Stegostoma tigrinum: one gene and its partner. The protein of the gene in region 2 interacts with the protein of the main gene of each other region in a pairwise test. Links are inferred from orthologs where the notes say so. Each region holds a gene or a part of one and is shown on either strand. Other genes may lie near its edges.

Region 1 (7,947 bases), on a different chromosome or scaffold from region 2:
TCCAAGGCTGAAGCCAACAAAATTTGGCAACACAATTTATTTGTATAGATTTAGTCAAGGTATAACATTGGTTTCATGGTTCACTTCAGAACAGGGCTACATAAAATTAAACTTTTGTAGCAGAAAGCCCATTTTAATACATTTGTTGTCTATTGGTAACAGCGATTACAGAGATAATACTTCTCATGCAAGTCATATCTGACCAAAGGCAAAAAATTTCAAAGGGAACAAACAATCTCAATTAAAAAGTTAACTTGAGAAAAACACATTATGAATAAAAACATAATAAAGAGACAAAGAGAAATTAGAGACAAACTGATTTGGGATTTACAGCAAGTTACAATTCTTTCTCACTCATTCAAGGCAGATTTGTTATCTACCGCTTCGATTGTGTATTCTCCAGATAGTGCGTTCTGGCTATTAAATAATTTCCATACTCCACACATAAGTTTTGCATCTGGAACCTGGGCCAGTATTCTCCACACATGAGCATATTTGTCTGCTCTATTTTTCCATTAAACAGCAATTACTTGGCAACCAGAAATGTTCCTGTGAGCCAAACAGTTATTCACATGTAGTATTCATCAATCTTACAGATATGTTTGTACCTAAAAGGTTATTCACATGTAAAGTGTGTTAAACACTGTTTCTGCTCTTCAGCTTATAAAATGAATATTTTGCTAAAATTTCAAAGAAAACTAAACAACAGATTTTAGATTTGGCAAAAGATGCATAGCACGTATTTTCTCACATCACAGTTATCCAATTGGTTTCACTTCTCAGTAAATGTAACCTTCAAAGCTTATTTGAACATTTCAATTTAATTTCACCATGCTTTCAAACAATGTATTCCATACCATAATGTGCATTCTTCACCTTAACTCTCTGTCTTTTGGGTTACAAATCACCTCTGGCAGAGATAGTTTCTCCAATATCTAATGCTTAATTTCTCTTGAGAAAACAGCTAAAAATTATTTGTTGATATGTAAGGTAAAGTAGATTTTGATCCTATAAAGACAATTTGTAAACCTAGATTTATGGCAACACAACACAGCTTTCAAAATATTTACATTAAGCTGATGATGTCAAGATCAGAGGCTTTCATTACACATTAGAATGTTTTTTAAAAATCCCAGTGGATGTAAGAAAATGCAGAGCAGCTATGTCCATGATTCAAGTCCTATAATCATTTAAGTATCTAAGAGCTTTCAGTAAATTGCACAGTCCTCCACAACAACTTATTTATCTATCTACACCAAATTATTTATTTAAACAAAATTTATACGTAAAAACTACCAATATGAACCTATCACTGAAAAGAAAAAGAAACACTTTCCTTATTAAATGGCCACATGGTAGTTGTCAGTATTGAGAAAATATAGCAATATATTACAGAAGAATTCAGTATAATGTATGTTTCTTTTTCAGTTGTTGATAAATTAATTTTTCCTTTGCATATTGGGTAGAAAATAAGCCAAATAGCCTCAAGTTAAATGAATTAAGCATGTCAATGATAATGCAACATAAATAATCACTAAAGAGGGGCAGCTTAATAAAAATAATTTATATTGATCTCGCATATTTACCAAGAAATTAGTTAGAAATCAAGATGTGACACAAAACCACGTAAGGTGATATTAAACGTGATTAGCTAAAACTTGGTCAAAGATATTCAAAGGACATTTTAAAAGGAGAAAGGTGGTAGCAGGCTAGAGAGTTTTCTGAAAGCAATTTCAGAAGTTAGGAATTGGCTAGAGAAGACACAGCCAACTTTCATGATGCAATCAATTTAAGGAAGCTCAAAACACAGGAACTGCAGAAACACCAGTATATAGGATCACTATGCCGCTGGAAGAGATTACAAAGATGGGAATGGATGAAATCATAAGGAAACTAATTATTATAAGTCAGGATATTAATTAGTCAGAAGTCAGCAAAGGTGAGCAAGCACATAAATGATGATAGTACAGTTTGAATAAGATCAAAGGTAACAGCCCACCTTCAGCTTCAATGTAGGCATCTGGACAGGAGTACATGAAATACTCAATAGTAATGAAGGTATGGGTAAGGTTTCACCAGCAGGTGAGCATGGCAGAGATGAAGTCCAGTGATACTTTTGAGCAAGAAATAGGTAGCTTTCGTGATAGCCCTATGAGTGGTCAGAAGTTCATCTCACACTCAAATTCAATACAAGGTTACAAATTTTCTGGTTTTGTCAACTCCATAGAATTAAAAGTATAATTTATAGTTCCACAAGATAAATTGATCTGGAAACTCTCTCTCAGAGATAATGTTGAAACACTCAATTGTTTCCTATTCTCTATTCGTCCAAGTCATGATGATTCAACAGAACAAAGCAAGAGACTGAAGAAGATTTAAGCTCAGAAGCATTGCTGAGAAATAGTAGTCATCAACATTTTGTTGCAGTGATGTCCTAGCTCATTAGTGGCAGTTTATTTTAAGTGAAACACTAGGTTCACTTATCCACCGTGGAGCACGTCAGTACCATATGGTCTCCACTACCAACAAGCTTAACCGCTGACCAAACCTGACTGAGCCATTTGACAACTCACCTGGTACATTATTCCAGACACATGCACACTATTGTGAAAACAACAATAAGCCATTGAAGCGTTCATGCTAAATTTATCTGGGAGTTTTATGAGGGTTATGCAAAGAACTGCACGATGTGCTCCATTTCCTCCGTGTTGTGACAGCAGAGCCAAAGGGGGTCCTTTGCTGTGATGTCTGACTGATGTTTGCACTCCACATAGCTGCAGAACGAGTGACAGTTCACTCAGGAGCCTGTTTAAACCATCACTTGAGGAGACATTTTAACCAACGAAAAAAACCAAGAGACTCCCAATCCTCGGACTGTGACGCACAACACCTTGTTGGACGAGGAGAATCGCTGCACGTTCAATGTTAAAAATATTTTTTTAAAAAAATCACTGACTTGATTCCTCTTGCATTACCTCAGGGTGATCACTTTCGGAACGGCTGTCTCGACGACCCCAGGCTCGGTTCAATAGTTCATTGGGCCCATCTCTTCTGCCAACATCACCGCTCCCAGTGTACAATCCTAGTCCTTAAAAAGAGAGAAAAAGATCCGCGCCGGAAGAGGAGCGTGTTCTTGACTAGATGTGAATGACAGGCAGATTACCCAATCAGCTGGGGAAAACTGTTATAATTGACAGCTTTTGTAAACAGTCGGTTAAGAGGATCCTGCAAAAGGCGGGGCTAAGGTCCCCGGCTGGATGACTTCACCCAGTCAGGCAGTGCAGGGTGGGGGCGGGATTTATTGCCATAGTGATGGAATCTCTATGGTCTGTGGTACCCACGCCGCTTTATTATTGGCCACTGAGCTGTCAATTAGTGGGTGAGGCGGTGGGCGGGTTAGTTGTAGTTTCCGGTTATCGTGTAGGGGCAGGGCTTGTGCCTGTGCCGAAAAAAAGGAAGGATATCTTTGCGGTCGTTGCAGGTTGCGCTCCGGCAGAAACCGGTTATATTGAGGGTAAAATGGGAACTAGAGATGATGAGTATGATTATCTCTTTAAAGGTAAGGCAATGACCATCTGTTTTGGGGTTGAAATACATTTGTCTTGTTTCGCATATAATTGTGATAAGATGTAGGCCTTAGGCTTTACGCCTTTAACCTGGTTAAGGAGGGCAGGGACAAAAACTTCTCCGCTGTGGCCCGATAAGTTTCTTTTTCTCTTTCTTATCGATGTTTAGTCAACTTGATACCAGAAAGTCTGGAGGAGCTTCATAGGTAGTAATGGCAGGAGCTGGAATCGAGAAAGAAGCCACCCAAAAAAAGCTATCGTCTGCAATAACATTAATCCCCATCTATTACCCTTACATGATCTGTAGGTTTAATCTAGCTAATACTGCCTGTCCATTTAGCTGCACAGTGAAACTTTTTGTCGTCTTTCTGCACTTAATTTTTACTTCTGCTAACTAGAATCTATTATTTTTAGTTACAGGCATTGTTAATTTTCTTTGTGTTTACTGGAAATAGCTTCATGCACTTTGCAAAACGCATATGAGCTTTCCTTTGTATTTTATACGTAAAGATCAAAAGCACTTTTTTTCCGCCACTGCAATCATCTTATTTATTTACACGAAAATTTCAGTTGACTGCCCCAAAGTGCGTAAATTGCGAAAAACATTAGTACCAATGTTTTTGTTTCTCAGCGTCTTAGGCTTGAAGGGAATATTTTACCGCTGGTGGTATGCATCACTGTTGACTGATTTAAGATGCTGGGTATAAAGTGAATTGTATGACCACAATAAGGCTTATTGGCTTAAAGTTGTATTTTTTATTGTTAGCAGTGCACCAAATATACCTGTGACATCAGTTGTCTTCCATGTTGCTGATCTTCTGGTTTATTGCTGGTTTTCACCCTCATTTCAACTTTCTCTTTCCCACGCTGCCTCAAAAATGAGACTCTTGATCTACAAGTGCCTGTTATTCTGTCCTTTAGTGGGAAAGAAATGGTGAAAGTTGAAAAATAGGTAGTAAGGGATTAAACTTTTTTTCATCTAATATTGATATTTAACATGTAAAGTGAGTACTTTTTTTTAATCACAACTTACAAGGTCACAGGCATGTTATCTACCTGCCTGCATGTTGTGGGGTTTGGGTGGAAATTTACCCATATTTGGATAGTCCCTTCAGTGTTTTGATCTAAACTTTTGTCTGAATATGCTTTCATGAAGTGCCTTTCAGCTTCAAAGCTGTTGTAAATTTGAGTTTGAAGACCAACTTTTTAAAAAAGTTGGTTAGGTCACAGATAAAGTGTACAAGTCTGCATTCCATTTTGTAGGGGGGATGTGATTGCACTGGATAAGGTGCAGAAATATGCTAGGATGTTGTCTGGGCTGGGGAAGTTAGACGTGGGGTTGTTTTCCTTGGACACTAACAAAGAACATGATTGTGATGTATAGATAAATGGGATGGACATGGAAGTACTCTCCTTTTGAGGGATAAATGAAGAAAGATATAAATTTGAGGTAAGAAGCAAAATTTAGAACAGTTGTAAGAAAAATCTTACCATGTAGAGTGGTAGGAATCTAGAACTCACCCTGTAAGGGTGGTAGAGACACAAACCCCTTGTAACATTAATTATTTAGATGAATGTCATTGGTGCCAAGGCGCATAAGGCCAACTGCTGTAGAATTGAATTAGGCTAGTTAGGTGGTTGTATTTGATTGGCAAAGACTTGATGGGCCAAAGGGCCTTTTTCTGTGTTGTAGGACCACTGATTCTGACTCTAAATATTTGTCAATTGCTAGTGAGTTTTGAGAAGATTTGTAGCTCAGGTTGAGGTTCTGGATGTGAGTTTGCTCGCTGAGCTGGAAGGTTAGTTTTCAGTCACCATTCTAGGTAACATCATCAGTGAGCCTCCGACGAAGCGCTGGTGTTATGTCCCGCTTTCTATTTATCTGGTTAGGTTTCCTTGGGTTGGTGATGTCATTTCCTGTTCTCTTTCTCAGGGGATGGTAGATTGATTTGGAGTCAAATCAATGTGTTTGTTGGTGGAGTTCCAGTTGGAATGCCATGCTTCTAGGAATTCTCGTGCATGTCTCTGTTTGGCTTGCATCCAACCTAGGACTAACCAAACAGAGACATGCACGAGAATTCCTAGAAGCATGGCATTCCAACTGGAACTCCATCAACAAACACATTGATTTGACTCCAAATCAATCTACCATCCCCTGAGAAAAAGAACAGGAAATGACATCACCAACCCAAGGAAACCTAACCAGATAAATAGAAAGCGGGACATAACACCAACGCTTCGGAGGCTCACTGATGTTACCTAGAATGGTGATGAAACATCTGAAAACGAACCTTCCAGCTCAGCGAGCAAACTCACACATCCATTTGTCAATTGCTTTTTGATTTACATATCATGTTAACTAAACCCAGTCTCAACTAGTAAATTGAAGTTTGAAAACTAGTAAAGCTATAAGAAATAAGAATGGGCTAGGCTGTATTGCTCAAGCCTGCTCTGCCATACATTAGGATTGTGACTGGGTATTTGACTGTTGAATAATTGTGTGCAGGCAGTGTATAACTTTACACATGCTTTTAATTTCATTCCTCTGCTTCAATTTGCATTACCAACCTCAAATATTCTTTATGTTTCTGTACAGGGAAGTTAAGGGCACGACATGCATTCTTTGTTAAATAAAGTTGAAAGAACTGCAGATGCTGTAAATCAGAAACAAAAACAGAATTGGCTGGAAGAGGTTAACAAGACTGACAACGTCTGTGAAGAGAAATCAGTTAACGTTTTGGGTCGAGTGACCTTCCCTCAGTCGACCCAAAATGTTAACTCTTGCTTCACTGCACAGGTGCTGTCAGATGTGGATTCATTACTCAGTTTTGTAGGGTTGTTGAATGGAATCTTGCGTGTTCGGCATTTTATTTTATCCGGATAGCAGCTAACCTATTTATTGAGCCCTTCTATGTTACCAGCTATATCTGTAAAAGATGATTCAAAACTGTGGCTCTGGATTGTAATGCATTTATGTTGCTTCTCTGTTCTGACAAATTTACTTTGGGATTATTTCATTTTTATGTAGTTTGAGACGTCAAATTGAGGATTAAGAAGATCTGCTAGTTGAATCAAGATGGTTGTTTTATATTCCAGCTTAAAAACATAATTGCTCAATCATATCCGTTTGAAAAAGGGTGGATTTATCTGCCATTCAATGGAAGAATCATATTTCTTCAGTTTTTTTGATATTTTGGTCATAATTGCTCCTTCAAAGAAGGGTTAAAATTTAAAGTGGAAGATCACTTGTCCATTAAGCTATTGTCCATTGTCTATTCTAGCTCCAAATACAAATGTTAAATTAAATATTTGCATAGATAGGCAAAGGTTTCTTCACATTGAAACTTAAACTAATATTCCCAAACAAAGATTCACCTGCACTTTTGCATGTCATGTCTGCTCAATCGTGTGTAAGAAACAATTGAAACATGCCTGAACCTTGTATATAAGGATTTTACTACATCAGTTTTTTGTCTTCTGTTTACCAATCTATCACTTATAATGGTTGGGTCACTTGTCAGTGTTCCTGGGCATCAAGACAGTGTGGCCTGAGAATGAACATGGATTAGGCAGTAAGGAATAGATTATTGAGGGGAAGCAAATATATAATTCACTCTATACTTGTATTATCCAATTTCACTTCCTTTTGGTGCGAAAAACATCAATGGCACTTTGGTGATCAGTGCTGTTTGGAGTAGAAGTACTGAATGAAGTTTCACTGCACCGTTAAAGTCTTCCAAAAGGCATAAGGGTGTAGCGAGTGACATTCATGAAGGCTATCTGTTTTCAGTGAGGATGTGGCACTGTAGAATGCAAAATTTGATCACCTACAAATAATTGTACGAACATTTGTACTTCATGATCTCAGCTGGTAATATTAGACAAGTCAAATTTTGGTGAAACGTGGCTTGATTGTAAGTTTTTCCTCTTGTAGTTTGGTTACTGTAGTGTTCAGTCACTGAACATATTCATATGAGGCTATCAATATCCTTCTAAAACTAAGTTCTTTATCTTAAGAAAAAGGTCAAAGTTCATTTAGAAAGATCTTAACATAAAACAGCACACAAAAACCACCCTCACTCCACCTATATCCTTCAGTCACTTGGTTCCACTGAAGTAGCACCACTGCTTAACTCTCAAATTTATAACTCCACGAGCTCTTCCCAAGCTTTGTTCTGGATTGTTGAGGCAGCTGAAAATGTTTATGAAGCTCTGGCCAGGTACTTGCTTCCAATTCTAACCACCTAGAAATTTCTACAATTTAAAAAAAACCTACCCTTCTGCTAAAGTGATTTATCTTGTGACCTCAACTTACTCATGGCCCTTGGTCTACTGTTTTTGTGTATGTCATAAAAGTTTTGTAAACATTGAGTTAACTTTT
Region 2 (7,624 bases):
ATGTCAGTGTAATTTGATGCTGACCTTCTGCTGCTAATTACAACCTGTGATACAAAGAATCCAAAGTCATTAGAGACACTTCCAGAACCTTTGCATTCCCATTGTGCTTCCTGCTCTCACACACACTCTCCGAAACCAGCTAAGCAGGCACAGACAGACTACAAGTCACCATAAATAACACTTCACCAGATTCCTCACGAGATTGATTAACACACATGTAGTTTAGCTTGTCATTTGAACCTCCCATTTGCTTTACTGACATTATATGATCATATTCACTGCTTTCCAAATTATAGAGACACGAGCCACTGCTATTTCTCTCACACACACACACACACACACACACACACACACACTGAAGCTCAAGTTGTTTTAATCACATTGTTCATCTGTGAATCCTAAATTCCAGCCCGGCCCCTCATCACCAAGTCTTCGGTGGGATTGTGAATAAGCACACAAAGAAATAGCAGGAATACTATGTTGAGCCTCTTTAAGCAACTGGACACAGTTATGAACAGGATTTAGAGACAAGAACATCGCAGCACAAATAAACCAGGCTAGTATATCATGCGTAGACAGCCAGCTAGCTCACTTCAAGTCTGGGCATTTACAGAAGTATTAAATTTGAGGGATCTAACTTAGTACATTGGAATACTGTTATTCCCATCTGGGATATGAAAAGAATCTACTTCCTAGTTTCCATGTATCAATAAGTTTAAGAAAATTGTGGTCTGTTACAATTTTTTGAACGGGAATAAAACTTCATACAACTGGTAGAGGCAGCCAGTGAGTGCACTTTTAGACAGTGCAAATCATTCCTTTTACTTAAGCAAATCCTAAAAACTGTGCATACTTTGCAATAGGATACAGATCATATACATGTTAAAATATATAATTATTAAACCTTGAATTATTAAAAGTTCTTCCATCACTTTGTTTGAGAGAGAACTCACAAACAAAGACAAAATGCAAATCTAACTGCAACATAATGAATAATGGTTGATATCTACAAATCTGAAATTCACAGTGACGTGAAGCTTCTTGTCCTGTGATCTCAACATGATCCTATTGAGATCCAAGAATCCTCGTTTTCTCCACACTTGTTCCTGTCTTGTAATACAAGTGGCAACATATAGAAAAGTCTAAGTGCTGTTTGCACAGATTTGATGACAAAATACATTAGCCAGAGAATCAAAATCACATTTTGAAACAACACAAATACTACTACTCTAATCAATAGGTGGGGAGTGACGCAAGTAAGCAACCGATAAAACCTATTCAAAACAGGAGACTTTTGAGTAAAAGATTGAATCTCCACTATTTGCCACTTGTCGAGCCCTACTGAATTGTGTTCAGTAGTTCTAACAGCATTATAACTTAAGTATACAAATAATAAACATGGATTTTAATTTAGTGAGAGGGGTTTTCATTTCTCCTAACAGTAATCATAGAAATCTGGAGATGAAGTGTGTTGGACAAAAGCGCACAGGCAGTGGGAACAATCTCTGGTTTTGGCACCATAATGGAGTTACACCAAAGAAATAACAGCAAGAACATTTTTATGCAAAATAGAAATTAAAGACCAATTATTCAATCATAAAGCTTTTAGACTGCATAAATCTCTTGTTCATAGTGCCTTTATCCTGGCATGGCATTGTAGATGAGAGACAGAGAACTGATACTCAGGCACGATTTTTTTAAACCAAATAATGTCATCGGAAAAACAAATTGGGAGAATAAGAAAAATTCAAAAAGTTATTACAATGCAAAATGCAGGACAAGTGACTACTTGAAACAAAATCAGCGGTCTCCTCTAGGCTATAAAAATTATCAATCTGCCCACCATTCCGGCCAGATTTCTGAAAACGAATCACCTTTGCCCCTAGCCGACATGTTTTTTTAAAAGTTTGTTAAATTTTCAGAAGTGTCTAATTGAATCCCTTTTAAAAGTTGTGGCAGAGTTTAAAGGAGTATATTCAAAAGTACAGGTAAACAACGCGAACAATAACAAACTCTGATCGAAGAGCAGAAATTTCGGAGTTTGCTATGCAACCAAAAGTTGTGTCGAAACAAAAGTGATCCACTTTCCGTGAACAGCAACTCATGCAACATCCTACTGATTAAACATGAATCATCTCAAAATCATCACCACAAAATGACAAAGGATTATTGCTTTAGAAGTCACAAATGTCCTGAGTTTTGAAATAAAACTGCCAGGGATCTTGCCAGAAACAATAAACAGAGGACAGGATGGAAAAAAAGAAGTTACTGAGAGTTAACTCATCCGCTCGTTATTTATAAACAAAAGGAGGTCCGCTTTGGAATGTAGTGGAGACGGTATGGAGATGCAGTTTGCTCACCTGCCCCAGGTTGATGAAGCCGTGTTCCCTGGCCACCCTGGCGGCCTCCTGCTGCCCGCCGGGGATCCGCACCGCCCAGGTGTTGCTATAAACTTTCGGCGGGGCGGTGAAAGAGGCACACAGAGCGACGAGGGTGCAGGACGAGAGGACGGCCTTCAGCCCCCACTCCATCCCCACGGCCCGCTACGGATTCACGGTCCAGCGGAGGTGGGGGGGCTGGATCTCAAACTCCAGCCAGTGCCGCCGCCGCCGCCTCCACCTACTCAGGGACCCCCCCCCCGGCGATTGGTCTCTACCCGGGGGTTGTTTGCACAGCTCCCTCTTCCCGTCCCTCACTCACAGTCCCTGAAGGGAAGGGGAGGCCGGACCGTGACGGGGGGGGGTGGGCGGGGGCCAAGTCCGAATGGTCGGTCACTCCGTCCCTTCCTGACGGACCGGTCAATCGGGGGACAGGGATGTGTGAGAGGAAATAAAGATCAACAAACGGTGGGCCAGTGTCCGGGACCAGGCCCTCAGCGGCGGTGCCGGGTGCCCATGATGCGAGATGAGCGGGTGTTGTGTGACAGGAGCTGGCACTCGGACACCAAACGGACACCGGCCCGCCCTCCCTCAGCTCCGAGCGAACAAACCCTGTCCCCTCAGGAGACTGCGCGCGCGCACGCGCACACGCACAGATTTCTTTGATGGGGGGGGGGGGGGGGGGCGGGGTGGGTGCAGAAAGCACGCGCCTGCCCCGGCTCGGCCAGCCAATCCCCACGCGCGACGGGAATGCGGACCGGCGCGCGTTAGGGACCGCCTCTTTCCCCGCCCACCCGGCAGGCGGAGACAACCGTTCCCCTTTGTGCGCAGGCGCGCTCTTACACCACGTGGCCCTCCCACCGCCTCCTTTTCCTTCATGACGTCAACCACGCCGTCCCATCGCCGTGACGTCAACAGCCCGGCCAACATTCCCTCACTGTTTCTTAGCACTTCCGGGATAAATTGTTGAACGGTTTTGCATTACTTACATGGAGCATAGAACCGACTTTGGCTAGACCTCTCATAGCTATCATGTTATTTCCAGTCATTTGGGCAGTCTCTAGCACCGCCTTATTTTGTATTTGTAATAACATCTCTGCCTCAGTTAATCGGATTATAGCTCATCCCTTGACTTGCTAAGCAGTTGTTAATGGTTACTCACACTGAGAACACTTCGAATCACCTGCCGGGACTTATTATTTAGCACTCCACCCTCACCATTTGTCTGGTCTTTTGATCTCTGCCCATAAATTCTGTCAGAAGTCACACAAGCTTTTGTGCTCCTGAGATGCTGCTTGGCCTGCTGTGTTCATCCAGCCTCACATTTTATTATCTTGGATTCTCCAGCATCTGCAGTTCCCTCTATCACAGAAATCACACAACATCAGGTTGTAGTCCAACAGGTGTGTTTGAAAACACAAGGTTTTGGAGCCTCACTCCTTCTTCAGGTGAGGCTCTGAAAGCTAGTGTTTTCAAATGACACTGTTGGACTACGACCTGGTGTCATGTAATTTCTGACCTTGCCTGCCCTAGTCCAACACCAGCAACTCCACGTCATAAATTCTGTGCTCTGTGTGCTTCTCACTCACTTTGCCTGACAGAGGGGCTACGTTCCAAAAGTTTGTGATTTCAAATAAACCTTTCGGGCTATAACCTGGTGTCATGTGACTTCTGACTTTATACAACCCTGGCCAACACCGGCATCTCCACATCATGCTTACCATGATGAGAGAATATAAGATCATGGCTGATCCAAAGGCTAAAGAAACAAAAGTGTAGGATTCAGGTGGAGCTTGAATAAACATGTTCGACTATAATCTGGCGCCACGTAACTTCTGACTTTGTCCACCCAGCGCCTCCACAGATCTGCCATGTATCACACAGAAATAAGGTTTTGAAAGACTGTGACTGTCATTTGATTTTAGAATCCCTACAGTGGGGAAGCAGGCCATTTGTCCCATTGGATCCACACCAACCCCTGAAAAGCATACTACCCACACCCACCCATCCCTCTACCACGTATTTCTCAAGGCTAATCCACCTAGCTGGCACATCCTTGGACATTATGGATCATTTAGTATGGACAATCCACCTAACCTGGACATCAATTTGACTTCTCTGAAAGTTCAACTGCCCTGTATTCTGACTTGCACCAATTTACCTAGCATCCCAGTGCCTACTGACTGACATTGGTTCCTGGTCTACCAATACCTCAATTTTTAAATTTTCATCCCTGTGTTCAAATCATCTCCATTGACCCATAACTTCCTTCAACCCACCACACCCCAAAATCTCCATGTTCCTCCAATTTTGATCTCTGGAACAGCCCCAATTTTAATCATTAGCTATCACTTAAAATATCTTGGCTCCAAACACTGAACTTTCCTCCCTAAACTCTTCCAGCTCTCAAGTTATTGAATGCAAGAGTTGGCAGGTCATGTCGCAGTTGTATTGAGTACAAGAGTTGGCAGGTCTTGTTACAGTTGTATAAGACTTTGGTTCGGCCACATTTGGAGTATTGCGTACAGTTCTGGTCGCCACATTACCAAAAGGATGTGGATGCTTTGGAGAGGGTGCAGAGGAGGTTCACCAGGATGTTGCCTGGTATGGCGGGCGCTAACTATGAAGAGAGGTTGCAGAAAGATGGAGATTGAGGGGGGACCTAATTGAGGTCTACAAAATCATTAGGGATACAGACAAGGTGGATAGCAAGAAGCTTTTTCCCAGAGTGGGGGACTCAGTTACTAGGGGTCATGATTTCAAAGTGAGAGGAGGAAAGTTTAAGGAAGATATGCGTGGAAAGTTCTTTACACAGAGGGTGGTGGGTGCCTGGAACGCTATGCCAGCGGAGGTGGTAGACGCAGACACGATAGTGTCTTTTAAGATGTATCTGAACAGGTACATGGATGAGCAGGGAGCAAAGGGATACAGACCCTTTGAGAATAGATGACAGGTTTAGACAGAGGATCTTGATCGGCGCAGGCTTGGAGGGCTGAAGGGCCTGTTTGTTCCTGTGCTGTAATTTTCTTTGCTCTCCTTCTTCCTCTAAGACACTCATTAAAATTTACCTTTTGCTCCATAAATTTGGTCATCTGTTAAAACACAAATGACGCATCTTGAGCTCAATGTTTTACTAGATGCTACATGAATGCAAGTTGTTATATCCTAAAGCTTGCCTGCAGAGTAATGGTCCCTGCATGTGAAACACATTGAAGCATGTGGATGGGAGTCCAGGACTGGATCAAAATCATTACTTGAGCTACGATATTTCAAAGCACTGGAGGAAACAACAGGAATGAGATTTATCACAAAACTCAATTAAACAATAGACTTTTCCATTAAAATAAATCATATTGTAAGCCAACATATTTGAATTTTAAAAAAACTGCCAGGCTTGAAGCGTTTCATCATATCTTTCAGAAACATATGGAGGGCAAAAATCCTCGGCACAGTTCCAGAGCCTGACCAACATGCCCGCACAAAAGTCAAGGCAGCAGATGATTGAGTGGTTCATTTGGACTGACTGCCTCTCTTCCTCGGCAGTGTTCATGCCTGGGTTTCACAGTGTTCAGCAGTAACAGACAAGGTCTTGTGGCACACTTGAAGATGTCATCTGAATTTCAGCTTCCTTTCTAAAGTCTGTTTTATTTTAATTCCAGTATACTTGTAATGTTTGTGTCAGTTCGTTCCTCTTTGTTGTCACCATACTCATTGGCCAAAACGATCTATAAACCCGGAACCCTTAAATGACATTCAACACGAAACCTCATGTACATAACATGTTAGAATGCTTCCAAGTGCCTCACTGGAAAGCAAACGGACAATCGACGCTGCATTAAGAAAGTAAGGGGATGCAAGTGATTGAGTAGAACTTTAGGCAAAGGGATCAGTTTTGGGAAAGGTCTTAAAGGTGGAGAGGAACTCCTGCTGTCACTGTGTAGGTTATTGCCCCACACCCCATAGCTTTCTCAGGGGGGAGTCACTGTGTCGGTTATTGCCCCACACCCCACAGCTTTCTCAGGGGGGAGTCACTGTGTAGGTTATTGCCCCACACCCCACAGCTTTCTCAGGGGGGAGTCACTGTGTAGGTTATTGCCCCACACCCCACAGCTTTCTCAGGGAGGAGTCACTGTGTAGGTTATTGCCCCACACCCCACAGCTTTCTCAGGGGGGAGTCACTGTGTAGGTTATTGCCCCACACCCCACAGCTTTCTCAGGGGGGAGTCACTCTGTAGGTTATTGCCCCATACCCCACAGCTTTCTCGGGGGAAACAATGTCAGATCAAAGGCTCAGTATGAAAACCGGAACACAGGAAATAGGAACAGGAGTAGACCATTTGGCGGTTCAAGGCTACTCCACCATTCAAAACAATTGTGGCTGATCTTGGGCTTTGACTCCACACTCCTACTCACTCCCGTGTCCACTGACTCCCTGAGACACCAAATATCTGTCTTTCCCAACCTTGAATATGTGCAATGATGAAGCATCCACAATCCTCTGGGTAGAGAGTGAAAACACCATTTTCCCTAAGCTGCGAAGGCTTAAGTGCGTGTGAGACCCAAACCCCAAACACAGTCAGTGTGTGTGGGACCCCGTACCCCAGTGAGGGTCAGTGTGTGCATGGGACCCTGTACCCCAGTCAGAGTCAGTGTGTGTGTGTGGGACCCTGTACCCCAGTGAGAGTCAGTGTGTGTGTGGGACCCCGTACCCCAGTGAGAGTCAGTGTGTGTGTGTGGGACCCTGTACCCCAGTGAGAGTCAGTGTGTGTGTGGGACCCCATACCCCAGTGAGAGTCAGTGTGTGTGTGGGACCCCGTACCCCAGTGAGAGTCAGTGTGTGTGTGGGACCCCATACCCCAGTGAGAGTCAGTGTGTGTGTGGGACCCCATACCACAGTCAGAGTCAGTGTGTGTGTGGGTCCCTGTACCCCAGTGAGAGTCAGTGTGTGTGTGGGACCCCGTACCCCAGTGAGAGTCAGTGTGTGTGTGTGGGACCCCATACCCCAGTGAGAGTCAGTGTGTGTGTGGGACCCCGTACCCCAGTGAGAGTCAGTGTGTGTGTGGGACCCCGTACCCAAGTCAGAGTCAGTGTGTGTGTGGGACCTCGTACCCCAGTCAGAGCCAGTGTGTATGTGGGACCCCGTACCCCAGTGAGAGTCAGTGTGTGTGGGACCCCGTACCCCAGTGGGAGTCATTGTGTGTGTGACCCTGTACCCCAGTGAGAGTCAGTGTGTGTGTGTGGGACCC

What was found. The genes of interacting proteins can lie anywhere in the genome.
Region 1: the proteins of furina (region 2) and marchf2 interact in a protein complementation assay, tested with the Homo sapiens proteins (2 studies listed by BioGRID). The link is inferred for Stegostoma tigrinum from reciprocal best matches to the Homo sapiens genes FURIN and MARCHF2.

What each region holds. Positions count from the first base shown.
Region 1 is NC_081383.1:27,520,231-27,528,177, forward strand, and holds the start of marchf2 (E3 ubiquitin-protein ligase MARCHF2), read right to left. Parts: upstream 3,104-7,947; 5' UTR 2,957-3,103; intron 1-2,956. Other genes in the region: ras-related protein Rab-11B, read left to right, coding at 3,520-3,559. UniProt on the Homo sapiens protein: E3 ubiquitin-protein ligase that may mediate ubiquitination of TFRC and CD86, and promote their subsequent endocytosis and sorting to lysosomes via multivesicular bodies.
Region 2 is NC_081389.1:22,674,147-22,681,770, forward strand, and holds the start of furina (furin (paired basic amino acid cleaving enzyme) a), read right to left. Parts: upstream 3,014-7,624; 5' UTR 2,532-3,013; coding exon 2,361-2,531; intron 1-2,360. UniProt on the Homo sapiens protein: Ubiquitous endoprotease within constitutive secretory pathways capable of cleavage at the RX(K/R)R consensus motif. Mediates processing of TGFB1, an essential step in TGF-beta-1 activation.